Oryzias latipes: one gene and its partners. The protein of the gene in region 3 interacts with the protein of the main gene of each other region in a pairwise test. Links are inferred from orthologs where the notes say so. Each region holds a gene or a part of one and is shown on either strand. Other genes may lie near its edges. The genes, in order: cpsf6, arrdc1, wwp1 and mothers against decapentaplegic homolog 3.

Region 1 (5,033 bases), on a different chromosome or scaffold from region 3:
ACATTGAAGCTAAAGCCTCGGTGTAAAGAGTTAAACACAAACAAAAACTACTGTCCTCACCCTTTTGACTGGCCATTAGCCCTGTTTTCAAAGAACTTTATCTCCAGCACATCTGTAATGCCTACTGAACGAATGGCTTCAGTCAGGTCTTCATCTGTTGTCCACTGTAAAAAAAGAACAATAATAAAAAGAGACAAATTATCAATACTACTTTCTTAGCATTTAGTCGAAATTGACAATGAAACTTCTAATTATTTAATTTGAATGGTTGAAACCCACCCATGTAAGGTTGCCGATGTACAAAGCAATCCGTTTGCCTGTATAGGTGTACACCACATTGGGTGGATTACTCTTCCCTCCGTCAGAACCGCCAGATGGAGGCATTGAATCCATGTAGTCCCTGTCTTCTGGAGCATCTCCATTATTGGCAGATGGGGATATCACATCATCGTACAAGTCAATCTGCTCGTGAACTGGATACTCCGATTCCTTTAAAAGAAAAATGAGTTAACACAGTTAAAGCAAAACATGTGGGGTTCAATTCCACAAGAACCTGAAACTGTGGCTCAACGTTTATAAAAACTGGGGATGTAGAAATGCATCTTTTAAGTGAAAGATATTATGGATGGATATTATTTTTAGTAATGTACAGGGGTGTAACGATTAATCAACGAATCGATTTATTTTCTTACGATTGAAACAGATGTATCTGTCTAATCTAAGGTAAGTTGCTTATCGAATTGGCAGTTTGCCACAACTGGGACGCAGAGGGAAAGACAGTGGCTGTGACAACATTAACCACTTGGATCTGTCGCCTCTTTGCATCTTTCGGGATTAAAAACAGTGACAATCTCTTCTCACAATGAGCTTTTGTCACCCCTATGGGGCCAAAAGGAAATGGTCCATTCAAGCAGCGCTGTTACTGTGACCCCAACCACTTTTATAGTTTCACATAGGGCTGCACGATATGAGGAAAACTCGCGATATGCGATATTGGTGATTAATATTGCGATAACGATATGATTCGCGGTATATAAACAAACAGCAAAACAACCAAAAACATAATTTCCATTTCACTGCAACAGTTTAAAAATTATACTCCAAATGACCCTTGTCGACATAGGAGGCAAACATCAAACATAAAAGGGCTCATCTGATTGATCAACAACGTAAATGGGTCCTTCCGATTGGTTAAATGCATAAAGGGATTTATTTCATTTGTTCAATATTTCAAGCTGCCACGAGATTGTTTTAGCACATTTAAGGTAACCATTTATTGCGATTTTCGCCGTCTTTTGTGGTATGCATATTGCACAGCTTAATGTCGCGATAACGATAAATTTGCGATATATTGTGCAGGCCTAGTTTCACACAATGTACGTTACTTTCTGCCTTTATGAACGGGTGATTTAAATGATTGTGCACTGCAGGCAAAAAAAACAAGTTTGCCACGGTGACGTAATGACCCTGTGTTTTGAAGCTGTTGGCGGTGAGATGACAGGTGGGGCAATACGATGAGCGCATGCATAAGCGGGAAACGCGCTAAAGGTTAATGAATGCACAGCCGGTTTTTTAATTATATTTAGGATGTCACAGCGACTGCCATTTATGAAGTTATAAGCTCAGTTTGTTGATAATACCAAATAAGGTCAGATTATACCCTGACTTTTTTATGTTCTGACAAATGTAAATGTGAAATGAGAAAAAGTTTTAAAATGAATAGTACAGCTGATCGCCACTCCATTTACTGGGGGTGAAAAAAAATGAAGAATGTCCAATTGTGGAAAATTTATATTACTATAATTAGCATTCTAAGGTCAAAGTAAAACATTTACTTTTACATGCAATAAAAACACCATGATAGATTTAATTTACATGACGTATACAGTATGATGTACCACAAATGCTGTACTTTTTGTTTCAAACTAACATAGTTTTAAGTTATTTAAGTTCACTTTTTAAGTTTGGCCTATTTTCCTTGTGCAATATTGTTATGAAAGAACGTCTTTGAGGTAATGCCAAAATGCCTGCTGTTGGGAATTAAATACATTTCTAGACATATTGAACTTTTTTACATTCTAAATTTCAAAATGGCACTTTATGTCACAAATGCTGTTGACCCCTAATCTATAGAAGTTTACTGCATATCACCAGACGCTTACTTAGCTCCCTGTTTTACTGGAAATTGCTGCAGCTATAATAAAACATGGAGACCAAATAGTGCTAGAGAGTTAGTCAACAAGAAGAAGCTGAAATAAAAGAAATTACACCAGAATTTAAAAGTAAAAATGGTTACTAGAAAAAGCAAATTACTATAATAAATTGATTTAAATTAATTAAATTCCAAAAGCATTTTTTTCTCTTTATTTTATGTCACGCTTTATGAGGAAAAAAAGAGTAGTAAACTTAAAGAAATGTTAAAAAAAACTAAAACATGACTAATAATTTTTAAGTCACTGGCTCTTAATTAAGTTTAGCTAAACAATTTTAATAAGAAACAAGGAAAAAAAACATTTATTTTTAAATGTTTAGCTCCGACAGTATAATACCATAACAAATTCTGTGCAAAACAAATGTCAGTAAGTTATGATTTTAGTATGCGGTCTAAAAAGGGGGGCGCGGTTTTTAATGTGCGCGCGCGCAAGAATAAAAAAAAACACCCACCATGCATGATGACCCAACCTGCTGCCAGAATGGAAGCCGTGTAACTCGTGTTTTCCCCTTTTGTTTTTATTTTTGACGTTTTTAAAAGTACACCAAGTTACATTTGATCCAAACTATAACCCACGTCCAATACAGTAAACCAATTAAACGTGTGAAGTTAACCAACACCAGCTAGCTTATCATGAAATGCGTGTTTGGTTAACAGCCTCCGTCGGGAGAAAAAAAAAAAAAGAAAGCACACACTGCGCGGCCTATACGCGCGCTCCACTGAAAAGGCTGCTAGACGCTTTGCTGATGGACAAAAATGTACATATTCTAAATAATAACCCACATCACATTTACCTCCACATGTGTACTACTGTTTGAATAAAAAATGCAGATCTATTGTACAGAAGTTTGCTATCTATGCTGCAACCAACGCAGCACACTGACTGACAGAGGCCTGTGTGTGTATTGCTAGTGGAGAAGCTAGCACGAGCATCAAATTACACCTATTTTTCCTATAACGCCGAAAAGACCATTGCAAAAATTAGAAAAAGAACTTCAAAGCACTGAACAAACTCGAGAATATTTTATTTTAATACCTGATTAAATTCCTCTTCTACGTCGGCGTAGATGTCGATATGATCCACACCGTCCGCCATTTTCCTCTGCTTCGTGCCTCCGTCCGCCTGGCGGTGCAGAGGATCGGAGCTACAAACAATAACTCCGGGAGATGCATCAGCGCCCCTGCTGGTCGTATTCACTAACTACAGCCTGCTCTGCTGGGAATGACGGATTCATTGATCATCTGCATTTCACTTTAAACATTCATACTACTGAATACGACATCTATAAAAAATATAAATTATTCTGTTATGTATTTTGTAATTACGCATTTAAAAGAGGAATTCAATATCTATTTATTTATTAATAAATGATTTTCACAACAATGGAAATGCAATTTCTAAAAGAACTCAAATAGATAGAATAGATCACGCTTTTTTCTACGTACAGCTGTGCACCTGCCATTACTGTTTTGTTGATTGAAAATTTCAGCAAATTTGACACAAATCGCTGGAAGAAATGGTCTTTTAATAAAAATTGTAACAATTCTTGACAACAAAGTTAAAAGTGAAAATAAAAAGCAAAGTTATGTGTAAAGAGAAGAGTGAAACATGATCTCCAACTATATAGTTTCCTGTGTATTAGGTATTGCTGTAATTATACTATAATATTTTTTTCAAATTAAAAATATAAATATTTTAAGACGCCCAAGTGGCTGGGATAGGCTCCAGCAGCCCCGTGACCCCGAAAGGGAATAAACGGTTAAGAAAATGAATTAATGAATGAATGAATATTTTAAGTACATTGACAAGACACAAAACATTCTATTTTGGTGTATTATTTGTAGACTCACATTTTACACTATATTAGACATTTTATCAATAATGTCATATAAATAAATTTAAATCTGGCTTTTGATCAACATTTGAATACTTACTCTGATGTAAAGGATACAATAATAACTATAACACATAGGATTTTACCTTAAAAAGTAATTTTGTAAAACTTTATTGGAAAATAAAGTTTTATTTTTTGAAATCATCTGTCATTCACAATCCAATTTGTTGAAACAACCACTGCTATCATACTATATCTTTATAAATTTACTGCTCATTTATATGAAACTATAAGTTTATAAATAATAGGTGAATAAAAGGAGACAAACAGAAATGACACACAGTCAAAGTAAATGTAATAAAAACAACTTTGTGGATCTTTTATTTTATAAATAATGGCTTTAATCCATGTAATACTTTCATAAGAACAATTTACAGGTTTGTTTTACAAAGGAAAAAAACAGAACAAAAGAACAAAATCACATTCCAAGTTTTAGCTCCTCCTAAAAAAAATCATAAACATTTCATATATATTAGATTTTACCTCTGTCAATAACACAACCAAAGACAACAACAACAAAAATAATAATTTCAGTCAGACCATTTTAAATGTTTTAGTTAAAAAGAATATAAAAAAGGTAACAAATATATTAGAAGTAAATCTTTTTAACATGCAAAAATGGAAGAAAAAAAGAAGTTTGAAAAAAAGAAGCGTTCAGTTAAATCAATATAAAAATACATTGTAATTTATTGGTAAATAAATCAACATTAACAAATGTTATTATCATTAGATAGATACCATTGTGATTCTTTTTTCTTTTAAAGTTGTTTACTTATTTTTTTCAGCAGAGCATTACAGATACTTAAAAAAAAACCTGAGGCAAAATGTTATGCAAAAGAAAAACTTTTTTTTGCTTTAACTTCAAGAACAATTTAATTACATGGTGAAAGTGCACAAGACAAAAAAAGGCAGAAAAACGTTTTAAA
Region 2 (4,930 bases), on a different chromosome or scaffold from region 3:
TCCCAGAACTTGGAGCTGACGTGGATCCACCTCAGGACTGAAAGACAAACCTGACATCACATCCTGTTTCAAGAATCTGTCAGAGCACCCTCACATGTCTTTGGCCTTTTTTTCATTCATTCATTCATCTTCTTCCGTTTGTGCCTTTTGGGGTCACGGGCCTGCTGGAGCCTATCCCAGCCACTCATGGGCGAAGGCAGGGAACACCCTGGACAGGTCGCCAGTCCATCGCAGGGTGTCTTTGCCCCCCCCCCCCCCCCCCCCCCAAAAAAAAAAAATAAGCAACAACAACAACAAAAATGAAGGGGCTCTTAAGCCCTGATCAGATGTTACCACATGCAAGATTACCATGGATACAGCAGTCTCTTGGCAACAGTCCCGTTTGTCTGTCGTCATGGAAATGCCGGTCCTTTAGTTTAGAGGAAAAAAACAGCTAAAAAAGATAAATCTGATAGGATGGTGGAAAGTAAAAATTAAAAGGAGAAAAGTCTGTTCCTGCGTATTTGGCATCACGTTTAGATTTGGACGTTTTGGATATCGAGAGGAGGAAACAAGCATCTCTGTGCACCTGCAGCTCCAGCTGCTGATGTGAGACGACAAGTACAGTTTCAGCCAGGAAGCACCGCTAAGACAACTTAGCCCTCAGAAACGGAAAGAACATTTGAGTTCCTGCAAACTTTAGAAAGATGAGAAAACTGTTGTTTTTCTGTGGCAAAAAAAGAAAGAATTGTATTAAACATTTACAATAAAAATCCCATTGATTGAAACCTTTACCTTTGATCAGTCTGAGGCCAACGCTGTCCGTGTTTGTGAGGATGAGTCCAACATGAATCCAATTTAAAGGCTCACTCTGAGGAAAACGGTGTTTTTAACATGTTATTGTGGCATTTTTCTGATGATGAGGACATTTATGGTAAGTGGAGTGCCCTCATATACCACTTTCCTACCCTCTCAGAAAGCCAGAAGCACTTAACAGTCACACTCGCCCACACACACACACACACACACACACACACACACACACACACACACACACACACACACACACCCACACACTGCTGCTGAACACTGGCATCAACCTATGACCACCAGCAGCAATGTGAGGTTCAGTGTCTTGCTCAAAGACTCTTCGGCACATGGGTGGGAACCGAACCTGCAGTGTTCCGATCAGAGGTCGACCGCTGTACCTCTGCTCCACAGCCGCTCCAACCATTTAAAGAAAAATAAAATAAAAACTACATTTCTGAGTATTTCTTTATTCAAGGAGGGGAAGGGTAAGAGTGCTATTAAAAAACAACAAATGAGGAACATTTGTTTTTCTCAAAATACTCCAGAGATTATGAAATGTTTTTGGTTATTTCCTATAGTCTTGCCTTGGTATTTTGTTTTATTTTATTAACATTTTATTACTAAATATATAAATATAAAAGTTATTTGCCAACATGATTCTTGAGGTTTTAACTAAAGTAACTTATTTTCTCTTTTTAAAGGATCATATTACAAACATTTTATGAATAAAGTAGCCGGCCTAACACCAAAACTGAACTTTTTTGGTTTAAAATTAACATTTGTAAATTAACATTTGTAAATTAACATTTGTAAATTAACATTTGTAATATGTTTTAGATAAAAGCAGGAGCACCTACTAATGCAGATATATGTTTATTTTATGTTTTGTCTTTTTTCTACATTAAGAAACTCCATCATTTGCATGTCCTGACAGGAACTGAGTTGCTTTTAGCTCCTTCTCAGTTTCATTTAGTTATTTATTTTCAGGTTAAACTTTGATCAAACAGGAAGGCCTGCTGTGGAGTAAGGCGCCTGTAGTGAGGACACACCTGTCTGCATTCAGCGCTTCTACGTCCAACACCTAAAAAGCTGAAAGGTGCAGAACCCACCTTCCCGGCTGACGTCACAATCCAAGACCCATAGAACCAACCAAGTCCCACTCGAGAACGGAGATTAGAGTCGGATGACGTCACAGTATCAAAAAGCACCTGTGGCAGGTATGACCGTGAGGGGATTCCGGTGAAGTTTGTGGGTCTGTTTCTGAGGCAGAATCGACTCATTTGTCCGTTAACGTTTGTCCCTGAGCTCGCGGCTGGGATTCGGAGGAGGTCACGGTGACGTCACAGTCCCCGTGGAGGGCGGAGAGCAGCTCGCGGCAGCAGGTGAGCGCGCGGCAGAGCGGAGAGCAGAGCCATGGGGAAGCTGCAGGAGTTTGACATCTTCTACACCAACAACAAGGTGGTCTACGGTCCGGGGGAGTCCGTCAGCGGGGTCGTGAGGATCCGGACCAGCAGCGCGCTGCATTACAAAGGTACGGGGGAGGGGGGGGGGGGGGGTGCTGGGCTGCGCGCGCTTCCGCTAGCGGCGCCTGTGCATCACTCAGTCGGTGAGGTGAAACTTTTGCCTCGCGACGGTGCAGGGATGGGAGCGCGCGGCTGAAAAGCTGCTGTTGTAAAGTTTCTGCTAAACGAGCGAGCCTGCTGGGACGGGCTGTTCTTTAGCGCGGATGAATCTCCCAAAAATAACAACAAGCGATCAGGTGGTGGTGGTGTGTGTATGTGTGTGTGTGTGTGTGTGTGTGGGGGGGGGGGGGGGTAAGGACACCGGAACTTCTGAATTCTGGGTTCAAGGGGAAACTCGGTTCATGTAGTGTAAAAGAACGAGTCCGTGCGCACTTCCTACAGGCGGAGGGTCTGTCTGTCTGTCTGATAGTTTTTTGTTGGTTTATGATCGGCTCTCCTCTTTGTGCTCTTCTGTGTTGGGCTGCGTGATGCTCTTTAAAATACCAGCTCCACATTGTAACTTTTTGGCATTCAGAGACAAGCCCATATGACCAGCACTCCACCACCATGCCTGACAGATGGGAGGCAGAGATTTCCCCAAAAATTGTTTGAGGACAGAGACGATGTGACTCAAGCTGAACCTGAAGCTCAGTCTGCAGGTGTCTTTTAACCCCCCATCCTAGGAGGTTACCTAACTGCTTTTTACTCAGTTTGATGCATTTGCCTGATTCTGACACAATAATTATTTGAAATCAAAACCCGGAAATATAGAACAGACAGAGTGAGCTTTCTAAGACATCGGATTCCTTTTTAAGATCTTTCTCCCAAACCTGTAGTCATAAGGAGGATAGCAGGTTGGAGGAAACAGAGGGTCCATTGTGTGAGGTGACCCTGGTCAGACTGAGGCGCCCCTCAGTGGCAGGCAGGTACAAAGCCCCTGCCACCAACGGGGACTGCAGGGACGGAAATCCAATGATGGAGCTTTTCTTCATGGCGGAAAGTCCCGAACTGCAGAGGGATCGTCTGTTACGACCTGATCTGAGGCCCACCACTCCGTTCACTGCAGGAGGAGTTGATCTAAAACTGATGCATTTGATGTGCTGTGGCAACATGGAAAAGACCCCCAAAAGAATGATTTACTTCAGTTATAGCAGCTAAAGCTGCTTGATTTGAACAAAAGATTGAAGAGAATCTTACTCAAGCCGCACATGGATACCAAAGATCACTGTTGTCGGCTAATCCAGTGGTCCCTGGGCTGTGGACCAGTACCGGTCCGAGGGACAGTTGGTAAAAGCACAACCTACCCCCCCCCCCCCCTCATTTTATTTATAATCTGATTCTGAAGGAAGTTTTATTTTGGAACACTACTGGGTTCTCTCCACCACATCCAACTCGTTCTTGAGTTGGATGTTCTGGATTTTGACTCGGTCACGTGTACAAAACCCTAAAGCGGCTGCCGCTAAATTGAAACTCCAAGCTAGCAAAATAACCAAAAAACGTATTTGGAAAGTTCCAGTGGGGAAACAGAGGAAGAGCCTTCAACTTCAAAATAAAAATAAATCTGCATTTAAGACAGAAACTAGGAGTCTTTTCTCAGAAAAGGATTTATTGTTATTTTTTTTCAATAATGCAGAATACTCATCAACCAGCTGTTTAATGTTATGGATATCATAGGTCTGATTCGCATATTTGGTTTGGCAAAGACTTTACATCAGATTCTGTTCCTGACACAACCCTCTGTCTTTATCCGGGCTTGGGACCAGCACAATGGGACCCTGGCTTGGGCCCCGTCGTGGCTACATTTCATTTGGAAAAACAAAACCCAAACATTTATTTCAAATAATATTTTAAATAAAGTCCTTATTAACTATCTAAATCCAAGGTTTTACTCCCATCATAGTGTATTCCAATGATTTTTATGCTTTCTGAAAATAAACCTGGTAACTAAACAGGAAGTTTTTTTTAATACTTTTGTGATTTTTTATTTATGCCAACAAATAGAAATATCAATCTGCTGGGATTTGAGAAGACAGAAAATAGACAAACACCAGATGATCTGTGTAAGACAAAACCGCCAAGTCAGTAACTGCAGCAGTGGGAGAACAGAGAGCAGATAAGCATCAAATCGCTGCAACATCTGTTTAAAACAAACTGCAACCATGACCCTGCAGTGGAGCAGACGGAGGAACCAGTTCATCCTCTAATCTAGACCACAATGCACTGTGTTGGAACGATGCGCCATTTGAAAAAAGTGTATGGAAGTACGTTTTTTATTTATCCGTCTCTGCTAAAGGCTCATATTTAGGGTTTTACTTTGGCAAATTGGTGACATTTGAGGGGAAAGGTAATGAGGTTGTGTCTGAACTGCAATAAAATCCAGGGCACTAGATAGTCCCGCACTAGTCTTTTTGGGGTTAGGTAGTGGGGAGGGGGTTCAAACACAGTTAAGAAGACGAGTTAAAGTTCCTCCAGTGTTGTGGGAAAGTGTTGTTGCTTTTTATTGAATTAAAAATTAATTTCTTTTGGTATCAATTCCTTCAAAGAATAAATTCCCCATTATGGCTCACCCTGGTCTGCAGGTGTGAGTTTGGTGGAAAGGTTGGTGTCAATTATCTTCTCAGTTCTGTAAATGCATTGGT
Region 3 (4,335 bases):
TTCAAAATCAACATGAGAGAACCAGATTGTAGTGTTGACGAGTTTTATTAGCAGACTTTTCTCTATTTTGTTTTTAGTGGCACATTTTTTTATAATACAAGAGCATAACAAAAGATGAAGAATTGTCAAGCAAAAAATAATTCATTCATCCATCTGCCACATTTTGACTTGAAGTTACTTTCATTTAACCAAAATATTCAACCTCTTTTTGATTGTAAATGAGACAGGTGTCTTTCAGAAGGGAACAAGACAATGGACAAATGACAATATTGTGGAAAAGTTTGAGATATTTTTTAGAGCTGCACGGTGGCACTATTGCCTCACAGCAAGAACGCCCCCAGTTCACGTCCCAGCTGGGGGACCTGAAACAGAACATCAATGGGGGACCCCCCTGTGTGGAGTTTCTATGTTCTCCCCGTGCATGCGGGGGTTTTTCTCCGGGGGCTCCAGCTTCCTCCCACCGTCCAAAAACAGGTGGAACCTAGGAATTACAGTAATTTCCGGATTATAAACTGCTACTCTTGTTCAACGCTTTTTTATGCATTTAAAAAAAAAAAATTAATGCATTTTTTCTAAACGGCCGCCAGTTGCACTCGAGGAGAAAAGGTAAGAGTGAGACAGGTGCAATACGGTATATGTGTCGAGGAAGACGGAAGTTTAGTGTAACTTCCCGCTTTGTGAATGAATAGCATGAATATCATGGAAAATGCAAGAAGAAATGCTGATTCTTCTTCTGTTACATAAGTTTAACAGGGAAGAACCTTTTTTTTAAAGTGCTGTCATCACACCAATTACTTAAACAGAACGTTAAGAGGAATTGTAGGTTATTATTTTAAACTTTCCCTTAAAAAGTAAAAAGAACAAGTGCTCCATTTTTAAATGTCCAAGATGAAGTAATCTCTTTTTCTTCTTTTAAATCTAATTATCCATCCAGCAGTTCTTGTGTAACAGTAAAAGCATCAGTTCTGTCCAGTAATGCATTAACCAATCCCGTCTGTTTAACAGAAATACATGACATAATCCTTTTTTATAAAACATATTTTACATTTGTGAAAGCAAGTGTGATTCGAAAGGACTAGTCTGTCTTTTTTTTAACTGAGCTGAAACCTGATTTATTCTTTAGTCTGTGTGTTATGATGTTTCTTAATATGTCAAAGACTTTGTTTTTTTGTACAACATGTAAGTTACAAGTATTGTGCTGATTGATTGATGTGAGCGAAACAGGAAGTCAGAGAAGGAAACAATGTGGGTGGTGTGGTGCAGTTAAACAAAAACATTTATGGTGCTGATCACAACTATCCAGCTTGTTTCATTTTGTAAATACATTTTCTCCAAACTTGATTCAAGTCATTTCCTTCTCTCAAGGTCAGCAGGACCCCTAGATTAGCAGTGCTGCTTGGCATTAACCTGCTTAGACATTGCTTAGAGCGTTTTAATGCCATTATACAAAGTTTCCTACTCCCTATTGTGTTATAAAGTCTCTGGAGGAATGTGCCAAAGCTCTTTCTCGCTGTAGAGTGGAAACTACCCATTAAAAGAAACGGGAAAATATCCATCCATCTTCAGAACCTGTAGAATCCCTTTTGGGGGTCACAGTGTTGCTGGAGCCTATCCCAGCTACTGTTGGGCAGAGGCAGGGTACACCCTTAACAGGTTGTCAGTCTCTAGCAGGGCCACACAACCACACTCACATCTAGGGACAATTTAGAATCATTATTTACCTATGAAGCATGTTTTTGGACTGTGGGAAGAAGTCAACACGTGCACAGGCAAACATGCAAATTCCACACAGAAAGGACCCAGCAGGGATTCAAACCACACCAGGATCTTCTCGCTGTGAGGCGAAGATGGGAACACTCCATAAAAAGCATCTGAAGACCAGCTTTCTGATGTGTTTGGTTTTAAGCAAACTTGCAGAGATTAGGATATTTGTTTTGTTGTGTGCTGCCAACAAGGATTCGAAGTCCCACTCTGATCATATTTGGATCTATTTGCTGGTTTTAGTCAAAAAACTTGTCGTTTTCTGCAGAGTTTGAGAAATTCATTACTGATTTGTAGATGGGAAAATTGGCGCAAGGTTGAGACTGCTTTTATTTCCCATCATCCCTTTGTTTGCAGTCTTTCCTGCTAGTTTACAGTCCCTCACAACCCCAACCTGTCGTTAGCGGTGCAACAAAAATGGCGAGTAAAGTTGGGGCTAACCAGCCGTACAGTTTTGAGCCAGAAGACTCTGCTTTAAATAAGTACAGCAGCCTTTATATTTAGGCTTTGGTGCTGAATTTAGAAATGTTTTTTATTGAACTGCTTAAATTGTTCATGTCTTGAAAAATAATATTGCTTTAAAGCTTATTGCAAATTATTATAATTTTTAGTTTGCAAAAAGCTAAAGATTTGGTTGTTTAACTGATTGATCGTTGATTCCCTGCTGTAGGTCTTGGCTTAGCTGAGCTTTAGTTCTATGGCTGGTTTTGGTTTGGTCGTTCTGCAGGTTTGTCTCTGACATTACCTGAAAAGCTACAGCTCACAAAGAAAGCCTTTCAGTTGTGCTCATTACGCCGCTGATATCTCGTTTCGTCATTGCATTTCATTTACAATCTCCTTCTTGTCTTCTCTTTCTTCTCCCTCAAGCACAATGAATGGTTCAGATTTGGACCCGAGGTCAGGTTCCTGTTCAGCCTCCAGTGGCGCTGAAGGTCAGGTGCCTTCCAGCTCCTGTAGCCCAGCTCGGGATCATGCGGTCAACGGAGAGACAACCCTAAACTCCACTCCAGTCCACCAGCCATTCGACGGCGAGACACAAAATAGAATAGGTGAGTTTGTCTTCTATGTTCTCAATTCTAAAGTCTGTTGATCTTTTCTCTGAAAAGAATTCCTAAAAATGTCATTTTGTTCACATTTATGCTCCCTAAACAAATCTTTATTGTGTTCAAGTTTGAAATGACAAAAAGAGTAGTTTTAGGTAGGGATGTCCCGATCCGATCACGTGATCAGAAACTGATCCCAATCACGTAGTTTCAGACTCGATTGAAATCAGATGATTGTTTTGGTAAACACACTTTTTAACGAGAATGGCTCTCTGTGCTGCAGATAAAGAGACAGCTGTCAAGGGGTCTACAAAGTGCAAACTCTGGGGAAAAGTGATTTGAAAAAAATAAAACAAACAAAACAAAAAATCTCTGCATTGGTGACTGCTAGTAATGTGCGGTTAACCGCGACACCGCGCCCCCTGCTGGTTCATCAAAAATCCCACACCATCACAGCTCTACTTGACAATGTTCTTTTTTTTAAATTAACTATGAAAATAACAGTTTACACTGATAGTTCTCAAAGTCCAAGTTTTATTTTTAATCCTCAGAAAAGTTGTTATATCTGAAGTACGTCAATCATGGTGGCATTACACCAACATATCCAGCTATTGGACAATACAATACTTTCTATTTTTAAGATAAAAAGTTTATTGTTCTGAATGTTGATTTTGTTTTCATTCTCTTCTTATTAAGCAGCCATTGAGGCTGAGAAGAATATTTTACCACAGACTTCTTCATTTTTCCTAAGTGTACATGTGATGCAACAGTTGCACATGTTTTTGATGTCAAAAAGTCAGATGATGCGAACAAATAAAAACCGTCATTGTCCTGTGTTTGCAGTAAATGGGGAGTCCAGCGAGGCTGCTGCCAGGCAAACGTCCTCAGCAAGAACGGATGTGCCCCCCACAGGCGGCCACGAGGACGGCGCTGGAGAGGCCGACTCTCCTGCCGCCCCGAACAGCACGTCGCCGCCTCGGACAACTTCCGCGTCTCCTGTAGCCTCCTCTGCCGGTGCTAAACCTGCAGACACCACCGCCGCTGCTTCCACCACATTGGCCTATGCAACCCAAGGGACCAGCACCGCCACAACACCCTCCTGTTCGTCCTCTTCCTCCCCGCCCACGGCAGAAGTAAATGCTTCCGGAGACGGGGGCGGCGGCGGCAGCAGCAGCGGCAATGCAACGACAACCTCAGACGGGGTCAAGCCCAGGCAGCCGCTCTCTAATGCTGCATCATCTGATCCTCTACCACCAGGGTAAGAAAAAAACTTGATTAAAAGCTAGAACCGCCTGATAACACACGGTTTGATCCTGTGATGTTTATTCAGGTGTTGTCAGCATCTTTAAGCTCTATTGAGAACATGCAGTGGTACAGATTTTGTTCAAGCACTTCACATACACTGAAATGATAGCTATTACTGCAGTAAACTTAAAAGCCCTCTTTTCAAATGTTACATGGCAAATTCTAATTTGTAGGGTTAAACCACCTCATTTTCTCTATGTTTTCTATTTCGGCAGTCAAATCCAAC
Region 4 (3,046 bases), on a different chromosome or scaffold from region 3:
AAATCTACAAAGCTTCTCTTGAAATGAATGCAGGCTCTTTTAACGAACGCCTGATGAGCCGAGCGCTTCCATCCACTGGGCTCTGACCAAAATCCGTTTAAAATTTTCCCCATCAGGAGGACATTCTCCTCCTGGTGACTTTTGATGAATTCCATCAACTTTAAATACTCAATAAAGTACTACAATCAACTACACTTCCAGCGTAACATTTTTGTTAGTTCAAATTTAAACATTGTTTCCTTGATTTTTTTTTTTTTCCTGTTTAATTTTATTTCTTTAAAACACTAACCTGTAGTGAAACATCTGGCTATTTTCCTTATCAAAGTGACCCTCAGTCCTGTTTAGATCACAAATGTAATCAAAGTTTGCAGTGAACGCTTTTATACAATATTTAAAAGTGAAATTAAAGTCTTCCTAACCAGTCAAATCCCAAAAAGACAAACAAAGTCAAGTAAACGTTCATAATTACATGGGTTTTAAAGGGAACAACAACGCATAAAAATGTCAACAATTTATTTTTTCTATGTTTTTTAAAGATAATTGAGTGTAAAATGTATCCAACAGCTATAAACAATAAACAAGACATTAAAAAAAAACAGGAAATAAAAAAATAATTCTGCCTTTCTGGCTATCAGATGCCAAAAATGACAATGACCTTCAAAAAAAAAAAGAAAAAAGAAAAAAGACCAATATGCTGAGATCCTCCTAAACTGATACTGCATTAATGCACGTGTCCCCTTTTTGCAACTAGAAAATAAAAAAAGTGCTACTGGCAGCGAGGAGGGACAAACAGTGGCTGGATGAGAGGCGTGTCATCATGTAGTTCTCGGGCTGCTCTTCCTATCTGTGTTTTCAGTTTCGTGAAAGGGGGGGGGGGGGGGGGGGGCAGGGAAGCTCCCCCTAGGAGACACTGGAGCAGTGGATGCTTGGGGAGCCCATCTGTGTCAGCACCTTGTCGAGCCACTGCAGAGGGCCGTTCAGGTGGAGCTCGATCCAGCAGGGGGTGCTGGTCACTGTCTGCCGCCTGGGACGCACACACAGACAACAGATGGTGAGGATGCAGAACCAGCCGCTCTGCCTGTAAGTAAACACATCAAGTCCTGGAAAAACAAACACCTGATCGATTTTAGCCCTGATATTTGGCATATGCAATCAAACTGGATCTATTCTGAGCTGCAGCTGAACTTCCTGCTGTTTAGTAAGACGAGGCTTCGACTTTTCTGTGAATTATGGCAATTATTATTGCACAGCGTCATAAAACTGCTTTAACAAGACGGCAAGGTTTTGTTCTGTCTGGCACTGAATCTGATCATGGAAACAAGATAAGATGTTTTTCACATTCATAGAACACTTAAAACTAGAGTCACTGTCTGAAGCTGTTTTTTATCCCTTTATTTATATAAGAGACACCCATTGAGACGGAACTCTTTTCACCTGGGAGATACCCGGGTCAACCTCTGTTCACGGAACAGCTCCTCTTAAGAGCCTTGCTCAAGGGCATTACAGCAGTGGAGCAAAGGCTTTTTTACTTTACTATGACTTTTTCAAGTCAGAATTGGGACTTGAACCAATGACCAACCAGCCAAGGGTTCATGTCAGTGACCAGTAGGCCAGCCCTCCACACACATCAGCTGGATTTGTAACCCGTGACTGTTGATTTTCTTTCTCCACGTCAAAGCGCGTCTGCAGCCTCTGTCAGGGTTACTTAAACAAGAGTTCAAGAACAGAACGTTTAGCAATTTCTGAGAACTTTCGTTCCAAAATGACCTATTGGCAGACCCACTCTGATGTAAATTGTGTTGTGTTTGTAATCATGGCGAATTAGGAGCAGAAATACAGTTGGCGAAAGCCTGTAGAGGTGACATACAAGCTATAATTAGTGGGCAACAAGCTCCCTGCTCTGCTCCATTCTGATGTATCCACTTGCAGACAAATAGATCCATGAACGTCTTTGTTTTCCTCGTCTGAACTGTTATCTGCTCCAACATTGCTCCCCGTTTTTGTTGCATCTGCAATGTTCGGTTGGGGCTGTAAGCTAGTGGGAGAAAGTGTAATCAGATGGATGACGGGAAATAGGGGCGGGCTTACTTTGCACCAATGGGGTTGCCCTCAATTCAGAGGTAAATTTCTAATGAACTAATGTTTTATTTGTTTTTTTTGACTGAAAATCCTCATTAAAAGAGCAGTGGGGATACTTTTACAATAGATCAAAGAGGATTGGAGTGGGACTTTAAATGAGGCCGTACTTTGACCAATAAGGCAGAAAGACAAAAAATACGATTTGAAGCTTGATCTTGAAGCGTCTTTTGTCAAATGTGCTACATTCAAAGTGGACTGATCTTCATGTCTTTTACATTTTTTGCTGTATAGCTGTTTATATTTGATATGCTTCTTTTTCTAAACTTTCTCCTTCTTGAATCTTTACGATTCTTTTGTTCTCTCTGACCTCAGAATGGACAGGACAGACTGGAGCTGATAACGAGAACAGTGGGATTGAACTTTGATGATTCAGGGTTTGGATCCAGATGTTTCACATTTTTAAGGCAGAAATAAAAAAAATTTGAACAAAGGGATTAAACTGCTGGCTCTGTGTTAAAAGTCTCATCAAGCTAAAGGATGCAGAAGTTTTGGAATCAACTGGACAGCAGCTCACCGGATACAACACAAATGCTTCCCAATGTCGGCTCCTTTAAAGTATTCATTCATGTGAAGCAGTTTTTAAACTGAATGACAAAAACGTGGAGGGACAAAGGAGTTAAAGCAGATCTGTAGTGAAAACAGAGAAAGGTAGGTGGAGGTGGAGTGGAAAGAGGCCTGTCTGATCACGTAACCTGAATCCTGTTTTTTAAGTGTCTCCACATGTCAGCGTCTGGTCTGGACAGGAATGAAGAGCAGCCGCTTGCAGCACAAAACTCTCCCTTGTGGAAATCTCTCACAGGCCCAACTTTCGGGCCGATCCTTCGCTTCTCTTTAATTACATTTCCTCCTCTCGTACTATCAGTGAGTCAGACGGTGCGAAGAGTCAGACTGTGTGGAAAACAGAGCG

The links.
Region 1: the proteins of wwp1 (region 3) and cpsf6 interact in binary tests that used the Homo sapiens proteins (3 or more experiments, as listed by UniProt). The link is inferred for Oryzias latipes from reciprocal best matches to the Homo sapiens genes WWP1 and CPSF6.
Region 2: the proteins of wwp1 (region 3) and arrdc1 interact in binary tests that used the Homo sapiens proteins (3 or more experiments, as listed by UniProt). The link is inferred for Oryzias latipes from reciprocal best matches to the Homo sapiens genes WWP1 and ARRDC1.
Region 4: the proteins of wwp1 (region 3) and mothers against decapentaplegic homolog 3 interact in binary tests that used the Homo sapiens proteins (3 or more experiments, as listed by UniProt). The two-hybrid records come from large-scale screens. The link is inferred for Oryzias latipes from reciprocal best matches to the Homo sapiens genes WWP1 and SMAD3.

Annotation. Positions count from the first base shown.
Region 1 is NC_019881.2:14,391,553-14,396,585, forward strand, and holds the start of cpsf6 (cleavage and polyadenylation specificity factor subunit 6), read right to left. Parts: upstream 3,360-5,033; 5' UTR 3,309-3,359; coding exon 3,249-3,308; intron 490-3,248; coding exon 280-489; intron 165-279; coding exon 61-164; intron 1-60. UniProt on the Homo sapiens protein: Component of the cleavage factor Im (CFIm) complex that functions as an activator of the pre-mRNA 3'-end cleavage and polyadenylation processing required for the maturation of pre-mRNA into functional mRNAs.
Region 2 is NC_019870.2:26,761,858-26,766,787, reverse strand, and holds the start of arrdc1 (arrestin domain-containing protein 1), read left to right. Parts: upstream 1-1,666; 5' UTR 1,667-2,202; coding exon 2,203-2,320; intron 2,321-4,930. UniProt on the Homo sapiens protein: Functions as an adapter recruiting ubiquitin-protein ligases to their specific substrates. Through an ubiquitination-dependent mechanism plays for instance a role in the incorporation of SLC11A2 into extracellular vesicles.
Region 3 is NC_019878.2:10,288,612-10,292,946, reverse strand, and holds part of wwp1 (NEDD4-like E3 ubiquitin-protein ligase WWP1), read left to right. Parts: intron 1-2,628; coding exon 2,629-2,810; intron 2,811-3,647; coding exon 3,648-4,062; intron 4,063-4,335. UniProt on the Homo sapiens protein: E3 ubiquitin-protein ligase which accepts ubiquitin from an E2 ubiquitin-conjugating enzyme in the form of a thioester and then directly transfers the ubiquitin to targeted substrates.
Region 4 is NC_019861.2:12,625,922-12,628,967, forward strand, and holds part of mothers against decapentaplegic homolog 3, read right to left. Parts: intron 1,025-3,046; coding exon 901-1,024; 3' UTR 1-900. UniProt on the Homo sapiens protein: Receptor-regulated SMAD (R-SMAD) that is an intracellular signal transducer and transcriptional modulator activated by TGF-beta (transforming growth factor) and activin type 1 receptor kinases.